Pelodiscus sinensis: one gene and its partner. The protein of the gene in region 2 purifies or fractionates together with the protein of the main gene of each other region. This does not show direct contact. Links are inferred from orthologs where the notes say so. Each region holds a gene or a part of one and is shown on either strand. Other genes may lie near its edges.

Evidence for each region.
Region 1: the proteins of HIP1R (region 2) and PICALM fractionate together in Homo sapiens (co-fractionation; 3 studies listed by BioGRID and IntAct, with this or other methods). This does not show direct contact. The link is inferred for Pelodiscus sinensis from reciprocal best matches to the Homo sapiens genes HIP1R and PICALM.

The regions. Positions count from the first base shown.
Region 1 is NC_134711.1:310,718,769-310,727,371, reverse strand, and holds the start of PICALM (phosphatidylinositol-binding clathrin assembly protein), read right to left. Parts: upstream 5,970-8,603; 5' UTR 5,657-5,969; coding exon 5,527-5,656; intron 1-5,526. UniProt on the Homo sapiens protein: Cytoplasmic adapter protein that plays a critical role in clathrin-mediated endocytosis which is important in processes such as internalization of cell receptors, synaptic transmission or removal of apoptotic cells.
Region 2 is NC_134725.1:32,136,759-32,145,361, forward strand, and holds the start of HIP1R (huntingtin-interacting protein 1-related protein), read right to left. Parts: upstream 5,202-8,603; 5' UTR 5,052-5,201; coding exon 4,959-5,051; intron 1-4,958. UniProt on the Homo sapiens protein: Component of clathrin-coated pits and vesicles, that may link the endocytic machinery to the actin cytoskeleton. Binds 3-phosphoinositides (via ENTH domain).

The DNA of each region.
Region 1 (8,603 bases), on a different chromosome or scaffold from region 2:
AGATATTTTGTCCCAAATTATTATTCCTCTTAAGAAAAAACGTAAATTAGTAGGAAACTGGAGGGATCTTGAGAACATCATGCGTAAGAATGGATATAGTAAATCATTCTTAAAACACAAAGTTAACATGCTATCACAAAAGAGGAGATTCACAAAGTAAGTACTGTAACACAGGCAAAGTATTTTGCCTTTTTTAAATAGTTGGCAGCTTAATGGATTGTAGCAAGGTAAAGGGGGATGTGATTCTTAAACTGGAACCATTTGGAAATGGTAAACAATATAACATCTGTTATTTAACTACTAGGGGACTTCCAAGATTCCTAACAAGCACACTGTACTAGAGCTAGTACACATATACAGAGTACCTGCACAATTTAAACAAATTTAAGAGGACTACATTGGGACAGGTTAGTCTAACTTTTGTTATGATTTATGCATAAATTGACCAACTGCTGATAAAAGATCAAACTTTTAAAGAAATACTAAGCATTCAAATACTATCTCCGTGTGTGCTTTAGAAAAAGCATACCATTTGTGGGTAGACTAAATTCTCAAGTTTTTTAGTAACGGAATGCACCTATGAACTCTCCAACATTTTACTAATATAATTTGGTAGTATCTGTCACTGATGAGCTCCAACATGGAGTTTTTATAAAATGCAACATTTCAGATGGGAAAGAGCATACCTTTTGTAATGTGTCATAGAAAGTACAGTTACCTAGTGCTCCAAATATAAAATTGATTCAAAACAAGCTCATTAAATCTAAACTTTTACTTATCATATAAATTAACATACAAGAAACAGTTCTCAATCAGGAGCTACCGATGGACTTAGGCATGTAGTCTAAGCTGCAAAGGAATGTGGGAAACCTTTCCTTAGCAGCTTTGCTTGAACAGCACAATATATTAAAGTTGATGATGACCCTACTAAAAGTTAGACCATGTTGTAGCTCAAAGACAAAGGTCAGTGAAGGAGACATCAGAAGTCTGAAGGCACCTGGCATAAACACAGCTGTGTTCTACAGATGAAGTAAGATGCACAAAATCAAAAGAAGCTGAGAACTGATACAAGATAAAGACAACAGCTGCAGAACCAAATAACCCATTGGTGATTTGAGCAAGAAAGCCAGTTCTTGTACTGTGATGAAGGCAAGACTTGATGACCCTGAAAAAGTCCACAAAAAAATCTAGAAAGAGTGATACAAAGCTAGCATCATATAAGAATCCAGAAAAGATCGAAGAGTAGCTCAAAAAAGTCAACAATGCAAATTACCTAGACTTGCATAATAATCAACTATAATAACAATTCATCTTCAGAAATCTTTGAATGAACTACACTGAAAAATGAAGCTGGTAAAGTACTTTACCATCACCAAAAATAATCTGTCAGAACAAAACAACAAACCAGTTACTGACGCATTAAAACTGACCAATTTCTTTGCTGCTCTATTTCAGAAAGGTTGGTGTTATATTTATGGCAGTGGACTAGAACTCATGAAATAGATACTATTTCCAGCTCTTCCACGGACTTCCCATAGGACCCTGAGCAAGCCACTTCATCTCTGTACCTCAGATCTTCATCTTTATAATGGAGAAAATATTTCTTCTCTCCCCCACTATACTTAAAATGTAATATATCCCACATTTATATTGTCTTTGTTTGTATGGAGCGCACAAGATTTTATTATGTGTGTTATTGCACTATCGAGGATCTGAACTGAGATGCCTAGTATGAAGTTACAATGAACTGCTTAGTCTATCAAATTCAGTTAATATTACAGCTTTGGAAGAAGAATGCTCCCTCCACAAATGGCTATACAGTATCACAAGTATATGGTAGGAAGGAGAGGACTTATTAGGGACATACCTATCATTCTTGGTGTATCTCTTGTGGGCCTACGCTTTTATGAATTGAGGTGAAGGGAGAGGGCTGAGCTATTCAAAGTTTGCACTAAGGATGCTAAATTGAGAATACAGAAAACCCGCGCCTTACGACAGCCTAAGTTGTGATCCCCTGCACTTACGACCATTTTGTAAGTGCAGAAGGGGCCCAAACCCCCCAACTTATGTCCTCGGCCCACATTTATGATGGTACACAGCACCTATCGTAAATGCAGTTCAAGTTATGATGCCCCTGACTTGCGACGCTTCCCCAGGAACCAATCGCATTGCAAGTTGGGGGCCACCTGTAATCAGCTAGTCGAGTAGTCAATGGAATTTCCATCGACTACTCAATTAGACAATGGGAGAGGGACACCTCGCTGCACCTCTTCCTTTTGAATGTAGAATAGTGATCCTCTGAACTGTCATTCATGTTAAAATTCGACACTTACCAACGAGGACTTAACAAGTCTTTGAACTTTCTCACCCATTACCAAGACAGTTTCCCCAATTATCACCTGTAATACCATTAACTCACAAACATCCCACTCTCCCTACCTTTAATATCAGCAATTCACAGACACTTACCTTCCTTCCTCCCCCTTCCCACCCCCCCGCATCCCCCTTCTGTTCTGCAATGTGATTTGTCCTTTTCATATTTGTTCATTTTTTTAAATTGTATCCTTTGGTATATATGGTTGTGACTACTTTCTTCCACTATTTGATCTGAGGAAGTGGGTCTGGCCCACGAAAGCTCATCATCTAATAAACCATCTTGTTAGTCTTTAAAGTGCTACATTGTCCTGCATTTTGAATGTAGTAAGAGCCAGGCAGCTCTTAATACATTTAAAAGGCTTGCCCTCCCCTCCCCCCCCCCAAAGATGGTAGTGTGGGGAAGGCTTTTAAGCCAGCTCCCCCCAGCACTGGCTCCTGCTTCCCCCGCCCCTTGCTCTGATATAGATATTGCTGCCTCTGATACAGAGGCAGCAAGGGCGGGAGCAAGAAGTGAGAGATGTCCCTAGTATGCATGCTGTACTTCCACTGAATAACCAGGGGGTGATTTCAGGAATGGATGCTGTTGGCCAGAGCTGTCTCATCCATAGGATGATTCAGGGCAGCCACTCGAAGCCCCATGCTGTCCCAACTGTTCTACGGACAGGACAATCCCCCATATTGGTTAATAGACTACACTTTTACATTACTAGGGTGGCCTGGGGTATGATCTGAGGAGCTAGCATCCCCCACTCCTTTGCACTCACTGCAGCGGTGGGAACCCGGAAAGCAGAACACTACATGTAGCAGCTTGTGCCACTTCGCTCTAATTCACTGTGCCAGCGGGAAGTAACAGTGCCCCAGTCCACTGCGCTCTACTCCACTCCCCTAGGTATTCACAATATAGATGAGTTTTCTTAGTCACCATGGCCTCATGGGAAAGTAGAGGCAGGGAGAGAAGGAGGAGGAACTTTTGGGAGAGAAGAATCCACTTCTCAGGCACTCAATACATATGACCCCTTTATTGGGTGGGATTTAGGGAATGTACTGCAAGAGTGATAGAGGAAATGGGCCCTTCCAACAAGCTGTGTAGGTAAGGAAACTCCCTTGTACATTCAGACTATTTGCTTTTTCTTGGCTCCAAATATCCTGAGAGGAAAGTTGGGGACAGAACGTCCTTCCAGTAGATAAAAAACAATGCATGGTCCTGCAGCACCTTAGAGACTAACAAAAAATAATATGAGTTTTCGTGGGCACAACCCATTTCTTCAGATGACAAATATGAGTAAGTGGGTTGGGCTCACAAAAGCTATATTTCTATATTAATATTATCTATATTTCTGTTAGCCTCTAAGGTGCTGCAGGACCTTTCATTGTTTAAGTTTCTTTAGTTACAGACTAACACAACTACCCCTTTGAGATTTCCAGTAGATAGGAGCTGATCTCTCAGCTACTAACACATTTATAGGCCACAACTCATATTCTGCTTGTGTGAAAAGGGGCTATGAAGAACCATTTTACTGTCATCTTGGAGGACACAACCCCACAGGTTCTCAAAGTCCCCGTAGCCCTAGGGTGGAAGAGAGTGGAGGACAGAGCCATAGACATCCTTACCCTCTCAGTAACCATCAGCATGAGGTCTTAACTAGTAATGTAAAAGTGTAGTCTATTAACCAATAAGCAAAAGCTTATAGGTTAATGTTATAGACTACACATTTTCCCACCCACACACTTGCCACTAAATCTTTTAGCAGGCTGCCCAGCAACCAGGCTCAGTCCTGGCTTGTGACAGGTCCGGGACCTACCCCTTGCTGCAGCTCTGCATTTAAAGCATATTAGGAGCCAGGCAGGCAGGCAGCCCAGCTCAGTTCTAGCTCACGCTGGGTCCGGGAGCTCAGGCCACCCCACGCCACTGCCTCTTTATCATAGGCAGCAGCACAGGGCAACAAGCCGCAGTCCATAAGAGGAGCTGGTTTTTAAACTGGCTCCCCATGTGGGCCAGCTCCCATCAGAGACCTCGCGCTGCTGTCTCTGATACAGTGGCAGCAGTGCAGAGTGGCAAGGGTCTTCTTGGGAGTGAGGCCAGAGTGCACTGGCTGCCGGCTCTGCCCCCAGGGATGACAAAATAGTCGACTGATCAATAAGAATGCATAAGGTTATTTGACTATTCAATTAAACAATGTTTAACATCCCTACTCTAAACAGAGGGGGAAAACAGACAGCATGACACCCCAGCTGACAAAGCACTTGCAGAAGAATCATGGGGGAGCCTCCCAGATACTATCAGTTGCCACAATCCCAAGAAACATGGGGTATATGGTTCCTAGGAGGACAGCCACAGATACTCATCATTCACATGTCCTGAGCAATGGGGGAGAGGAGGAAGTCCCTGCAGGACTGAAGGAAAGTCTGCCAAATATTTACAGCCTCAAGGTGTCAGGGGAAGAATCCCTTGAAGCAAGCCCAGTCTCAGTACACTCAGGCCTATGAATCTATGGGAAAAGGTGCCTCAAGAGAATGAAAAAGTTAAAAAACAATAAATAGACTAGTAGCACCTTAAAGATTAACAAAATGTGTAGATGATATCATGAGCTTTCATGGGCAAAACCTTCTTCTTCAGATGAGGTGGCCCTGGCAGGGCAGGAATCACTCTCCCCCCTCCCCTGATACTTTGTGTTCCCACACCACCTAGAGAGAAAACATTCCCCTTCCTCCCCATATTATTCACAGTCCTCACAGGTCCCAAGCAGGGAACATCTTTCCTGCCCCTCTCAAGCTCCCCATGACCCCTGGGGAGGAATCTCCTCTGACCCACTTCTACTCTCAAACTCCAAGGCCCCTGGGGGAGCCTTTCCTATGCCCTCCTATTCCCCCCACGGGAGTCCTGAGGATTGTGGTATCTCCTGCCTCCCCTCCCTCTCCCCATGGCAGAACCTCTCCTACCCCCTTCCCGACAGTACTCAGCCCCCAGGGAACGCCTCTCTTCCCCGCCAGCCCCCAGGGGAAAGCTCTCCTGCTCCCTGTCCCCACGGTCCCTGGTGGGGCCGCCTTGTACTCACTGTCCCCCGGCAGCCCTGGGAAACAGCTCGCCTGCCCCCTACTCACGACCCCACGGAGGGGACCTCCCCCCGCCCGCCGCCACCCCGCACTCACAGTCCAGGTGCTTCTTCTTGGGCCCCATCACCTCGTGGGTGGTGGCTTTGCAGACGGTCTTGGAGACGGCGGAGCCGGTCACGCTGTGCTGCGCCGCCGTGATGCGGTCGGTGAGGCTCTGGCCGGACATGGTGCTGCGGGGCCGCGCGGCGCCGGGCTGGGACGGGACAGGGGAACGGACCCGCTCGGACAAGTCGCTCTGCCCCGCGGCGGGCAGCTGCGCGGGGCTCCGCCCCCGGGGACGGCCCTGTCAGCCGGGCAGGGCCCCCTCCTCCTGCCCTCGGCCCCAGCCCCCGCCCCCGCCCCTCGCTCCTTCCGCTCTGCCGGGGTCGGGGGACACACGCACACTGGGCGCCGCAGGAAAATGGCGGCCACGCAGCGCCTCTCGGATCACTCCGGGCCGCCGAAATCACGTGACTGCCCCCCCCCTCCCTCTTTTCACAAAGCCGGGCCCCGCCCGCGCGGATCATATAGCTCTCGCTGCTCCTCCTCCTGCCCCGCCCACATCACGTGATGCTCCCCCAGTCCCGGCGTAATAAGGGGGAGCCGCTGTACAAGGTCCCGGGTGGGGTGGGGTCGGCGCCAGGTTACGCGTCCTGGCTCCTAAGGGGTTAGCTGGCGCCGGCACGCAGAACTCCTGGGTTCAGTCTCTAGCTCTGCTGCTGATTGGCTGGGCCGGGGACAGGCCCCTGGGTGTTGGGGTACTTTCGTTTGCCGAAGTGGGGTGTCAGCGCGATCCCTGTCTGCAAGTGTGAGTGAGCCAGGGCCTGCCCTTGCTGCGCTGCTGGGCACCTGCCAGCCTCTGGGCAGCGGTGCTTGTCTGAATTCAGCGCACTGGCTCTATCTGCAGCGTGCCCTAAATGCCCTTCCTAACTTCCCAGAAGAAGCGACAGGAGGGAGTTGATTGTAAACGCACAATGGTGCAGCCATGGGCAGCAGCTTTGTACAATTTTTGGTGGTGCCCCATTAGCCACGCCCCACCCCACCAGCCACGCCTCTGGAGGTAACACACTCCGGGCAAGATGGACACCTGACCAGAAGTAAAAGGTGTCATGTCACCCCTCTAGAAGGACTTTTCCCACCATCCACCTACCAACAGTGAATAGTTTGGCCCCACTAAACCCCCCCCCCCCCCCATGCAGCTATTCTGCAGTTGCATTAACCCAATGTGTGTGACATTAACTCCGGGGCAGAGAGGCTGGGGGAAGTGTTTCCTCTAAGGCTATGTCTACACTTGCAGCTTCTTGTGCAAGTACAGCTGTTCTTGTGCAAGAACCCAGAGAGCATCCACACTGCCCACCTGCTCTTGCACAAGGAAATTTACAGTACGGCGTGGTAAGAGAGGGCATCTTGCACAGGAGCTATGCTCTTTCCTAACAGGTGTAAGCTCTCTTGTGCAAGAAAGCAGTGTGGAGAGCTTTCTTGGGCAAGAGAGCATCCACACTGCCATGGATGCTCTTGTGTAAAAAGCACAGCTCGCACATGGCAGTGTGGACATGTTCTTGCGCAAGACTTCTTGCACAAGATTTGTTGTGCAAGATGTTCTTGCACAAGAAACTGCCAGTGTAGACATAGCCTAAGAGTTTCCTCCCATGAGCAGAATGAATTTTGTGTTGTGCACCATTCCTGTGTTCATGTTGCTTGTTTGGGTGTGCCATTGTGGCACCCAAGTTATTTATAAATATTTTGAAACCTTTACCTTTTCTTTCTGCTGCCATGTCTCCTCCCCTTGTTCCATCAGCTCCCCTGGTGCCTGCTGCCGCCCCCCCCCAACTCCTCACCCTCCTCTGCTGTCCTGACTCCTGCCTTTCTCACTGCCCTCAGCCCTCCTGCAGCCTGTCCCCCTCCACCAGCCCTTCTCTTCCCCTTGTGTCCACTCCTCCAGTAGTCCCACTCTGATCATGTGAGCTACACCTTCTCATCCCCTCTTCTAACACCTCCTTCTACAAACCTCCCCTGCCTCTCTCTAGTGCTGGTCCCTCCCCTGCAGGTGTCTGCCCTTCTGCTTCACCACCAGAATCCCCTGGCACCTGCACCTTCCCTTAGCCCTGCACCCTCTGGTGCCTCCCCCTTCCCTCACTGCCCCTGCCCCCTTTTCCCCTGATGCCCCTCCCCTCACCACCCTCTGCCCCTATTCCCCTCTCGTCCCTCTGTGCCCTCACACATGACTTGCTCCAGCCACACCTTTCTCATGCCCACCCCTTCTTTCAAGCCTTCTCCCAGCACTGCACCCTCCCCCCTCTAATCCCCAGTGCTCTTACCCTCTCCTCTCCCATCATCACCCTGACACCTCCCCTCCTGCCCTTTTCCTCATTCACTCCCCCCCACACATTTGTCTCTCTTCCACGCAGACCCTTGATGCCTGCCCCTTTCTTCTCCTGACCTGCCTCCTACTCCTTCCCCCTATTTTTCCCCCTCCCCTACCTTCTGCCTTCCAGTTTGCGGGGCTGGAGTCTGTGATCAGGCCCTGACACCCCTCTGTCCGTCGAAGGGGTATAGGCCGCTCTGGCATCCACTGGCCATTCATTCTGGGGCTGCAGAGTCTGAGCGTCCACCCTGCGGGGTTGCCTGCTGGGTTCCGGCTGTTGCAGGAGTGTGGGAGCTTCCCCAAGCTCACCGCCCAGGCCCCGGGTAGACTCCCTCTCCCTTGCCTGCCGAGCTGCCAGCATTTAAAATACCTAGTGTGTGGCATGAGCATGTGCTGCAAGAGTGCGGGGGCAGGGCTGGCCCACGGTTCCAAATATTGGCTCCAAATATTGCTGAAGCAGGGCCCCCAGCTCTGAATATTGGTGGAGCACGGGCACCACGAGCCCATATAACTCGCCGCCCATGGGTGCAGAAGCAGCATTTAGGTGAGGCTCCCAGCTCTAATGTCTCTCACAAATGAGATCTGCACCAGGATGAAAGAAAGCTGGCAAAAACAAGCAAGACTAAGGCTATAGGGGTAGGTAGCAGGAAACTCTTAAAAAGAATTTGCCTCCTCTGCTTCTCCCCACATCTTCAAGAGACACTCTATGATATCATCCCCAGACCTCAAGGAACTCACTCCATGGGAATTCTACATACTTCTCAAGATA
Region 2 (8,603 bases):
TTTTTAATAAAGGGATTTATTTTGCAATAATTTTCATTTAAATTTAAGATGGTCCCTTATTTTCCAGTTATAGTCCACCTGTGCCTAAAAACTGTTTAAAAAATAAATGATAATTTAAATTAGAATAATATTAATACAAAGAATCAGACCAGCTGCAATGAAATTGCCTATGTTCAGCTATTTCAAAACTAAACTGCTATGGAAAGCTAACATATACGTTTCATCCGTTAGGGTGCACCTACACAGCACCCTAAAGTCGAAATAAGATATTCAATAAGATAACGCCCTATTTCAAGACAACCCTTAATCCTTGTGGAAAAAGGATTACAGAGATGTCAAAACAGCACGCCCATTATTTCAAAAAAATATTTTGAAATAACGGGTGCCTTGTTAAGATGCAGGGTAGCTATTTCAGCAGACTTCCAGTATCCCAAAATAGCCCAATTATATCCTGTATCTGGGGTGACCAAGACCTCAAGCTCAAGCATTCAACTAGTGGATCACAAAGCATACCATCAGCCTGCTTCCCTGGCTGCCCAGGAGGTCTGGGGCAGAATTAGCTCCTGTCTGGCCAGGCCACAGCTGCAGCAGCATGGCCCAAGCTGTGGGAGGGGCTGGTGGCAGCCCAACCCCGCCCCTGGCCTTGCTCCTGTGGGAGGGCAGGGAAATCAGCCCCCGCCTTCCCCCAGCCAGCCAGCCAGCCAGCCGATGGGGGAGGGAGACTCGGGCAACTTGGGGGGGAATCACGGGGGGGGGGTGCATTTGCATCCTTTGCTCCCCACACATACACACCCTGAGTACGGGCCTGTATTAGCTTACCCAAATTGCCTCTCTAAAGAGCCTGCCAGATTTCTATACTGACTTGTCCAAAGGGGACCCTGAACTGTAAGTTTAGTTGTCCCAAAGAGATAGCCTCAGTTTCCTCAGTAAATGCCAGTTATGTTACAGAATGCACATCAGGAAGGCATTAATCAGCTACTGCCTTTCCTAGTCCAGCCTGGGGCACAGCTGGACAAACTGAAAGGTAGAACATAACAAAGAAGCAGTAAAGTCAGCAAATTTTCCTATTGTTCGCTGGTGTTTACAAGAAAATACGCTAGGTTTGATTTCATTCAGTCTTTGTTCTAGCTAACCTGGGTACTTATGCATGGCTCTTATTACTGTAATGTGAGCATATTAGTTAGCCAGAGGGGCTAGGCAACATGCAGTGAGATTCCTTTACTTTGCAGAGAGAAAATACACCTGGGGCCACAGCTATGCGACAGGTGAACTGACTACATGTTTAAATTAGCAGGTTGAGTTAAAGACTTGGTCCCCCACAGCCTTTTGACAGTAGACCGTAGAGATGCCCCTTGTATTATTCTAAGAAGAAAATGATCAGTTGCTTCTGTCATGAGAAGATGAGAATTCTTATAGCAGGTGAACAAGCAGCAGAAAGGAAAATGTTCATGCACTAAAAACATTAGAATTGTCACAAGATATTAGTCTGTATGCAGTATGGGATAGCAGTAGCAACTGGAGATGAAGGACTTGTTCAGTGATACCCATTCTAGAAGATCTCACTTTTCCCTCATAGAGTGGCCCATATTATTATAGAAAAAATTTTCATGAGCAACTATACCTTTCATTCACAATGCTGCTGTTCACTATGCCTTGTCCTTTTAAAAGACAGTCAAACATGTTTATTTCTATTCTTCTCTTTCTCTTCCCTGAATTTGTTCTGGCACGTGGAGTGAATCACTTTTATTGCACTTTGATCCATTTGGCTATTGGCAACTTTATGTTCTTCACTATTCAGTGCCAAAGTCCATCTTATACAAGGGTTATAAGTGAAACAGGCCTGCATTTTTGTAGTCTAAGCACAAGAATAGCCCATGATCTACAGCAGATAATGTGGAACCAGAACACAAAGATTTTACTACCTCTGTTTTAAATAAGGTTATCATTTCAAGACTTAAGTCATTTGAAGGACAGCAAAAAACAGCTTGGAGCATGTTTATCTGACCCGCACTCCTTGTTGGTAGAGTACATATTCAGCATTCTTTGTTGCTGCTGTTTCTTTAACCTTCAGCAGCATCACTGTATTCCACTGTATCCCTCACACCCATCAGTCTGGAGTTATAAAACTTTCTATTTAGTAATTTGCCAATATTTATGGCATTTACACAGAAGATAACACTGTGGAAAAAAATCTTTTCCTAAGGGCTTATTATTTAAAAAAGGCATAGGTAGCATCAGTCTCTGGCAATTAAAGAAGTAGGGGCCTGATGTTCTGGAAGTGGGGTGCACCCATGTGAAACCAGTGAGATCTACAGGGGCTTTGAAAAAAAAAGTCAAACCCTGAGGGCATATTTTACTCATGGGTACAAAAAGTGAAGAAAAATGATACAATCAGTGCCTTTAGCAATTGTGCATCTGGTATATCAATGAACTGACAACGTACAACTTATTTTTACCATGCTGTAGGCACATTATGTAATTTATTCATTGCCCCTCCTCCCATGCTAAGAACAACCAAATACACAGACATTGGACCTGCATGACTAGGTAGACAAGACTTGACAATTCTGTGGGTCAAATTAGAAGTGATGATTCAATTTTGCTGCAGGAGAGGCAAGGAGGATAGAAAAACTATATGATGTCAATTAATGCTGGTATTTTACATGACTATTGTTTGAATTTAAGTTCACTTGATATTTGAGGAAGTGATCTAATGCATGCATACAATAGTCATGGAAATATGGCTGCCTCATCATCAATGTGCCCTACACAGTAAATGAAATCAGACTTCATTAATAAAGCTATTAGCAGGTGCAGTATCCTCTCCAGTCAGCCTTTCAAAATACACACAATGAAGTCTACTTATTACAAACTGCTTTATCAACATGAACAGAAAAGGAGATTCTTTGTAGCAGCACCCAGAGTCTGTACAGTATTTATAAGCAAATACATGTTTTGCTTTTATATAAGATATATAAAACATATATAAACATACCTAAAAAGAGAACATTATCATTATGTGTAAATGTTTGCAGAATCATAAACACTTCTATACAAACCTCAAAATTTTCTAAAAATTTTAAGTGTTAAAATATATCCTGAAAAGTTTTATTCTACAATATCTGTTCCAAATGTTTGTTTCAGTTTAACAGAGAATCTATTTTATCTTTGCTTATAATTTGATATTTGTGATTTGGCCAAGATACTGAATTTTGATTAGTAGATAACCTATTTATTCTCTTATATTAGCAAATGCCTGAATTAGACATTACAGCTATATAAGCAGAAAAAAATCTCTTTAAAATTATTAAATTACAGAAAACTCACATTATATTATTCTTCTTTTGAGCTTCACACCAATATTTTCACATGGAATATATAGATAGTTAAGTGCATATGCATCCTAAAACATTTAACATACTTTCAGCTAAGAAAGGAATTAAACTCCAATTATTATTATTATTATTATTATTATTGTTAATAAATAATAACAACCCACCCACAAATCTTGTATTATTAGATCTCTTGAAATAGCTGTATTTTAGGTTATTTCAAAGATTATTTATATCATATGTTACTGCACAACTAAAACTCAAGACCTGAAGACATTTCTATACCTAATTAAAATGGTATATACAGCACATGGAAAAGCCAATTTTTGCACTTGATAAAAAAAACAAAAAACAGTAAAGTTTGTTTTCAGAGAAACCCATATACTGAAGCATGTTAAAAATAATCCCTATCACAGATATCTAAACAAGGGTGTGTGTATGTATATATATTTTAATGTGCACACTTAACATTATCAAACAGTCAATTACATATAAAACTTTTCACCTCACAGATTCCTAGATAATACTGGACCTGTTTTGCTAATGGAAAGAAAAACAGGTTTGCTCCTGTATCAGGCATCCATCACTATGTCAAACTGGATATACTAGGACAACTAGAAAGATTACAGTCATTGCAACAAGTTTCTTTAAAAAAAATCTTATAGGAAGAGGAAACGAAGGAAATGTAGCAAAACTGATTAAGTTTTATCTGTACAAAACCAGTCAGGTCTGATCTTTTGCAAGCCTGCTTCCTGACACCCACCCAAACACATACTACACCCTTTAATCCCTAAAAGGAAAGAGCTGAGATGGCAGCTGCAGGGCCACTGGATGACCTGTTTAAGGTGTTCTGTAGTTTAGCCAGGCCACACTTTCAGCAACGTTTCCTTATTTGTTACAGGTAGCAGCACTACAGGAAGTGTCAACCGTATCGATGCAGTCGACAGGGGACATTTAACACCCTAATGAGTTTACTTATTTTTCCCCCTTGATCCTACTGACTTGTAGGCACGACAATTCAAGATCACAGATTGCCAAACCAGAGAGAAAATGCGTGAGCCAGGGACCGCAAGTCCCTCGAGCTTTGAAGAGCCCAGGCCTGGCCTGGCCAGCCGCGGAGACCTCACAAACACCCCTTTTCTCTGACAGAGCCAAGCACCAGCCAGGGGATACAAGCCCTCTACGTACTGACTTCCTGTAACAAAATACACCCCTCGCTGCCGTGTTCCTTGACGTGAACAGGCTCTAGCCCCTCGCTCTACAGCACAGACCCGTCTCCACCTTCAGTGAGTGCTCCAGTGTGTTTGCTAGTCGCTGCTGCCTGGTTACCTACCCAGCGGCTTCCCCAAGCTGGAAACGAATTAGCGCGGGGAAACCAGATCAGAGAACAGCGTCCACCCAGCCCCCCGCTCGCCGATCTACAGATGCTGCTCTAAACCCGCATCCCTCACCGGCCAGCTGCGTGCTCCGCCCTATCCCCGCGGCTCCCCCGCTAGGCTAGCATCACGCTGACCACCCACTGCCCCCGCACCCATGCCCCCAGCTGGGCAAGGTGGATGCGCTTCTCTCGACGCCGCCGCACACCTACCCCCTCCCCAAGTGCCCTTGCCGCGATCCCCTCCTTGCCTGAGTCTTGTCAAATTGCTCCCGCTCCGCCTCCAGGCTGTGCCCGGTCCGGCGGCTCAGCACCCGGGCCGGCACGTTCTTGATGGTGTTCATGCTACCGCTGGGGAGGGAGCCCGCTGGGCGGCCGGGGGAAGCAGCGATCGCTCGGGGGGAACGTTCGGCTCCCGCAGCCTGACGTTCTGGTGAGAGCCCCGGCAGGGTGCACAAGGGCGCCCCTAGCGGGCGGGCTGGGCTACTACTGTGGCTGGCTGCATCCACTCACAGGCGAGAGATTCTTCTCCTCCCAGCTCCCAGGCAGCCATTCACAGCCAGCAGCTGCTGCCATACCCTCTCGCTCCGCCCAGGCAGCATCCTTTCCTTTGCCCAAGCAGCGGCAGCTCCCAAGCAAATTACTACTGTACCTCCTTCTCCGTTCTCCCCTCCCCCGGCCCTAGGATTGCAGTCGGGGTATGAAAAAAAGCACCCATCTGTACTCAAGAGCCTGAAATGACACCAACAGAAAAAGGCTGAGGGGAAGCAATGCCTGCTCACAAGCTAGGATTGTTCTTATTTAATTACTCTTCTTCCCAAGTAGGATAGTACACAGTTCATAGCAAGAGACTGCAATCAATTACGCCCTTGGAGTGAATTATGCAACCAGGAACAAATCTTGATCTAATTTAAATCAATCCACTCCTCCTCGACTTCAGATTTGGGTCAGGAAGGTTTCTAAAAATTAAGCACTCCACCTTCAGTTGCATTCACATCAAGTTGTTATGAAAACACAAGTTTGGTACTCCCACCCTTCCTTAGTCCATTTAGCCTGCTTATAGTAAAGCTAGTTTTGTCTCTATTTGTGTAACTCAAAAATAGCCAAAGTGATTTTATAAATACAATAGAATCCTCTTGCTTCCAGCATACTGAAGGACAGCTTACACTGATTACATTAAGAGATCATTTGCAGTCTGATGACTTTGACAAAAAGCTGAAATGAATGAAAGTGTACATGGTTCAACTATTAACACTTGCACACAGAAACCTGTCTACTAATAAGCAGTACCTGAATCAATCCTGAACAGTTAATTGCAAATGCAGACAAAGCAAACCCTAGTCAGATGCAGATGTGGGCCACACTGAAGAAAGCTTAAGACAACATTGCTGTGTGATTTTAAACTTACCAAATTTTGCTACTTTTGTGCTTGGCCCGTTTCTATACAAATTTATTAGCGCACTTTAGAGAGCATAGTAATTTATTATAGAACCTGTGCTTTGGTAAAAGCCAAAACATATTTGCAGGCATACCTGTATAGATGTCATACTTTAGCAGAAAGTATGAAAGCACTCAGTTAAACTTAAATATTGCTGCACTATTCCTGGGGATGTCATTTAAGATTTGTGTTTATATGGATCTATATACAGTATACTGAATATATACTATTGTAGCATGTAGAGCATGCAATCAGTGATCAAAGTCCATTGTGATAGGCATTGTACAAACATGTCATAAAAGAGAGTTTCTATGCTAAAGAGTTTGGTTAAAATAAAGATTTAATAGATATGAGAGGCAAACAAAAGGGTAATAGTGGGGGATTGGGAGAATGAGGTAGCAATAATACAAACACATTTTCATGTGGACTAGATGTGCCTGAATATAGTTCACCATTTGTCTTACTAATTACTAGCATTTCATAGGCAGCGCAAGTGATGTTAAATAGAGATTTTTCTTCTCATTCTTTTGTTTCAATAAAAGTTCTTCATTATCTCTATGAGACATTGTCCCCCCAACAGACTAGTTAATTTAAGCTCTAAGTGAGCTATAATTTAAAAAAAGCTGAATAAATTAATTATGCCATTATAACAGAGTTTATAAAACATAAAAAAGTATTTTAATTGGAATACTTTACATATTCTCATAAAAGAAGTCACCAAAACTGTATTAATACAGAAAAAATATTTGAAATCATGAGCTATTATGATTAGTTTAAGAGAAGTTATGTGTCATAAGACACTTGAATATATAATACATTTAAATATCAGTGTTCTTTAGGAGTTGAGATACTTTATCTTTAGGCATTTGCCCTAATAAGCAAGGGTTTTGGTTTATCAGTTAAAGGAAAGGAAAATATTTGAGAGAGTTAAGTTAATTTTTTCTATCTCTACTGTGTAATTGTTAACTCTCCCTAGTTTTTTTTTTATTTGATGAAGATTTCTTGAATCAAGGACTATTTTGTTTTGTTTTATAGTAAGCTTGTTTGTCTATACAAGCTACATTTTCCATTAATGTACAAATTAATTTTAAAAGCTGTTATTTTCTGTTTGTTAGACTTCTAATTAGAAAGACCAAATGGTTTGTTACACCATAGATGAAAGCAGTTAAAGTTTAATTTCTGTTAATAGAATAACATACATTATCAAATAGAAAATGTCTCTATTTGTAATGTTTTAAAAAATAAGTCCCCATTTTTAGGAAGCTGATTTAGTTTGAGACCCCATGTAAAGCCTCAGATTGCAGTCTGTTTTGCAGGTTTGTTAATATATGAATAAATTCACCTTAGTATTCCACCTGTCTTCCAGTTTAAGAGTAGTAAACTTCCATCTCATGCCCAGAATAAACTACATACTCAGAGTAAGATTTAGTGGTGTGTGAGTGCTCCAGACTAGGGATGTTAAATATCGGTTAACTGAATAGTCAAGTAACTTCATTAATTCTTATTGGTTAGTCGGCTAGTCAATAGCCCCCATGGGTGGAGCCTGCAGCAGCACAGGGTGTAAGGTGGAAGCTAGTCTGCGAGGGGAGGCAGTTTAAAAAACAGATCCTCTTGCTGCTTGTCACCCTGTGCTGCTGCCGCTGATAAAGAGACAATAGCGCGAGGTGGCAGCAGCCCGTCAGAGGCGGAGGTCTGAGCTCCCAGACCCAGCATGAACCAGAACTGAGTCAAGCTGCCTGCCCGCTGTCTCCTAATACACTTTAAATGCAGAGCCACAGCAGGGGTAGGTCCCGGAGCCAGTTTGAGCCAGGCTGCTGGCCAGCCTGCTAAAAAATTTACTGGTAGAGGGAGGTGGGGTGGAGAGGAATGGGGTAGTCTACAGAATTAACCTATAAGCTTTTGCTAATTGGTTAATTGACTGCACTGTTACATCACTACTCCAGACATGAATTCAAACAAATACAGCAACACTATAAAAGCATCCATACTATTACCATGATATTACTCTTAGCGCCTGCCTACACAACATTTTTGTATCACTTTAACTAATCAGTTTTATGATTTATTGCTTCATGGTCATGTTGGAAGGGCATAACCAGTAGGATCCCACAGAGGTCTGTTTTGGGACCAGTTCTGTTCAATATCTTCATCAATGATTTAGATGACGGCATACAGAGTACACTTACTATGTTTGCAAATACCACCAACCTGGGAGGGGTTGCAAGTGCTTTGGAGGATAGTGTCAAAATTCAAAATGATCTGGACAAACTAGAAAAATGATTTGAAGTAAACAGGATGAAGTTTAGCAAGGACCAATGCAAAGTACTCCACTTAAGAAGGAACAATCAGTTTCACACATACAAATGGGAAATGACTGAATGGGGAGTACTGCAGAAAGGTATCTAGGGATCATAGTTAAACACGAGTCAACAGTATGACACTGTTGAAAAAAAAAGAA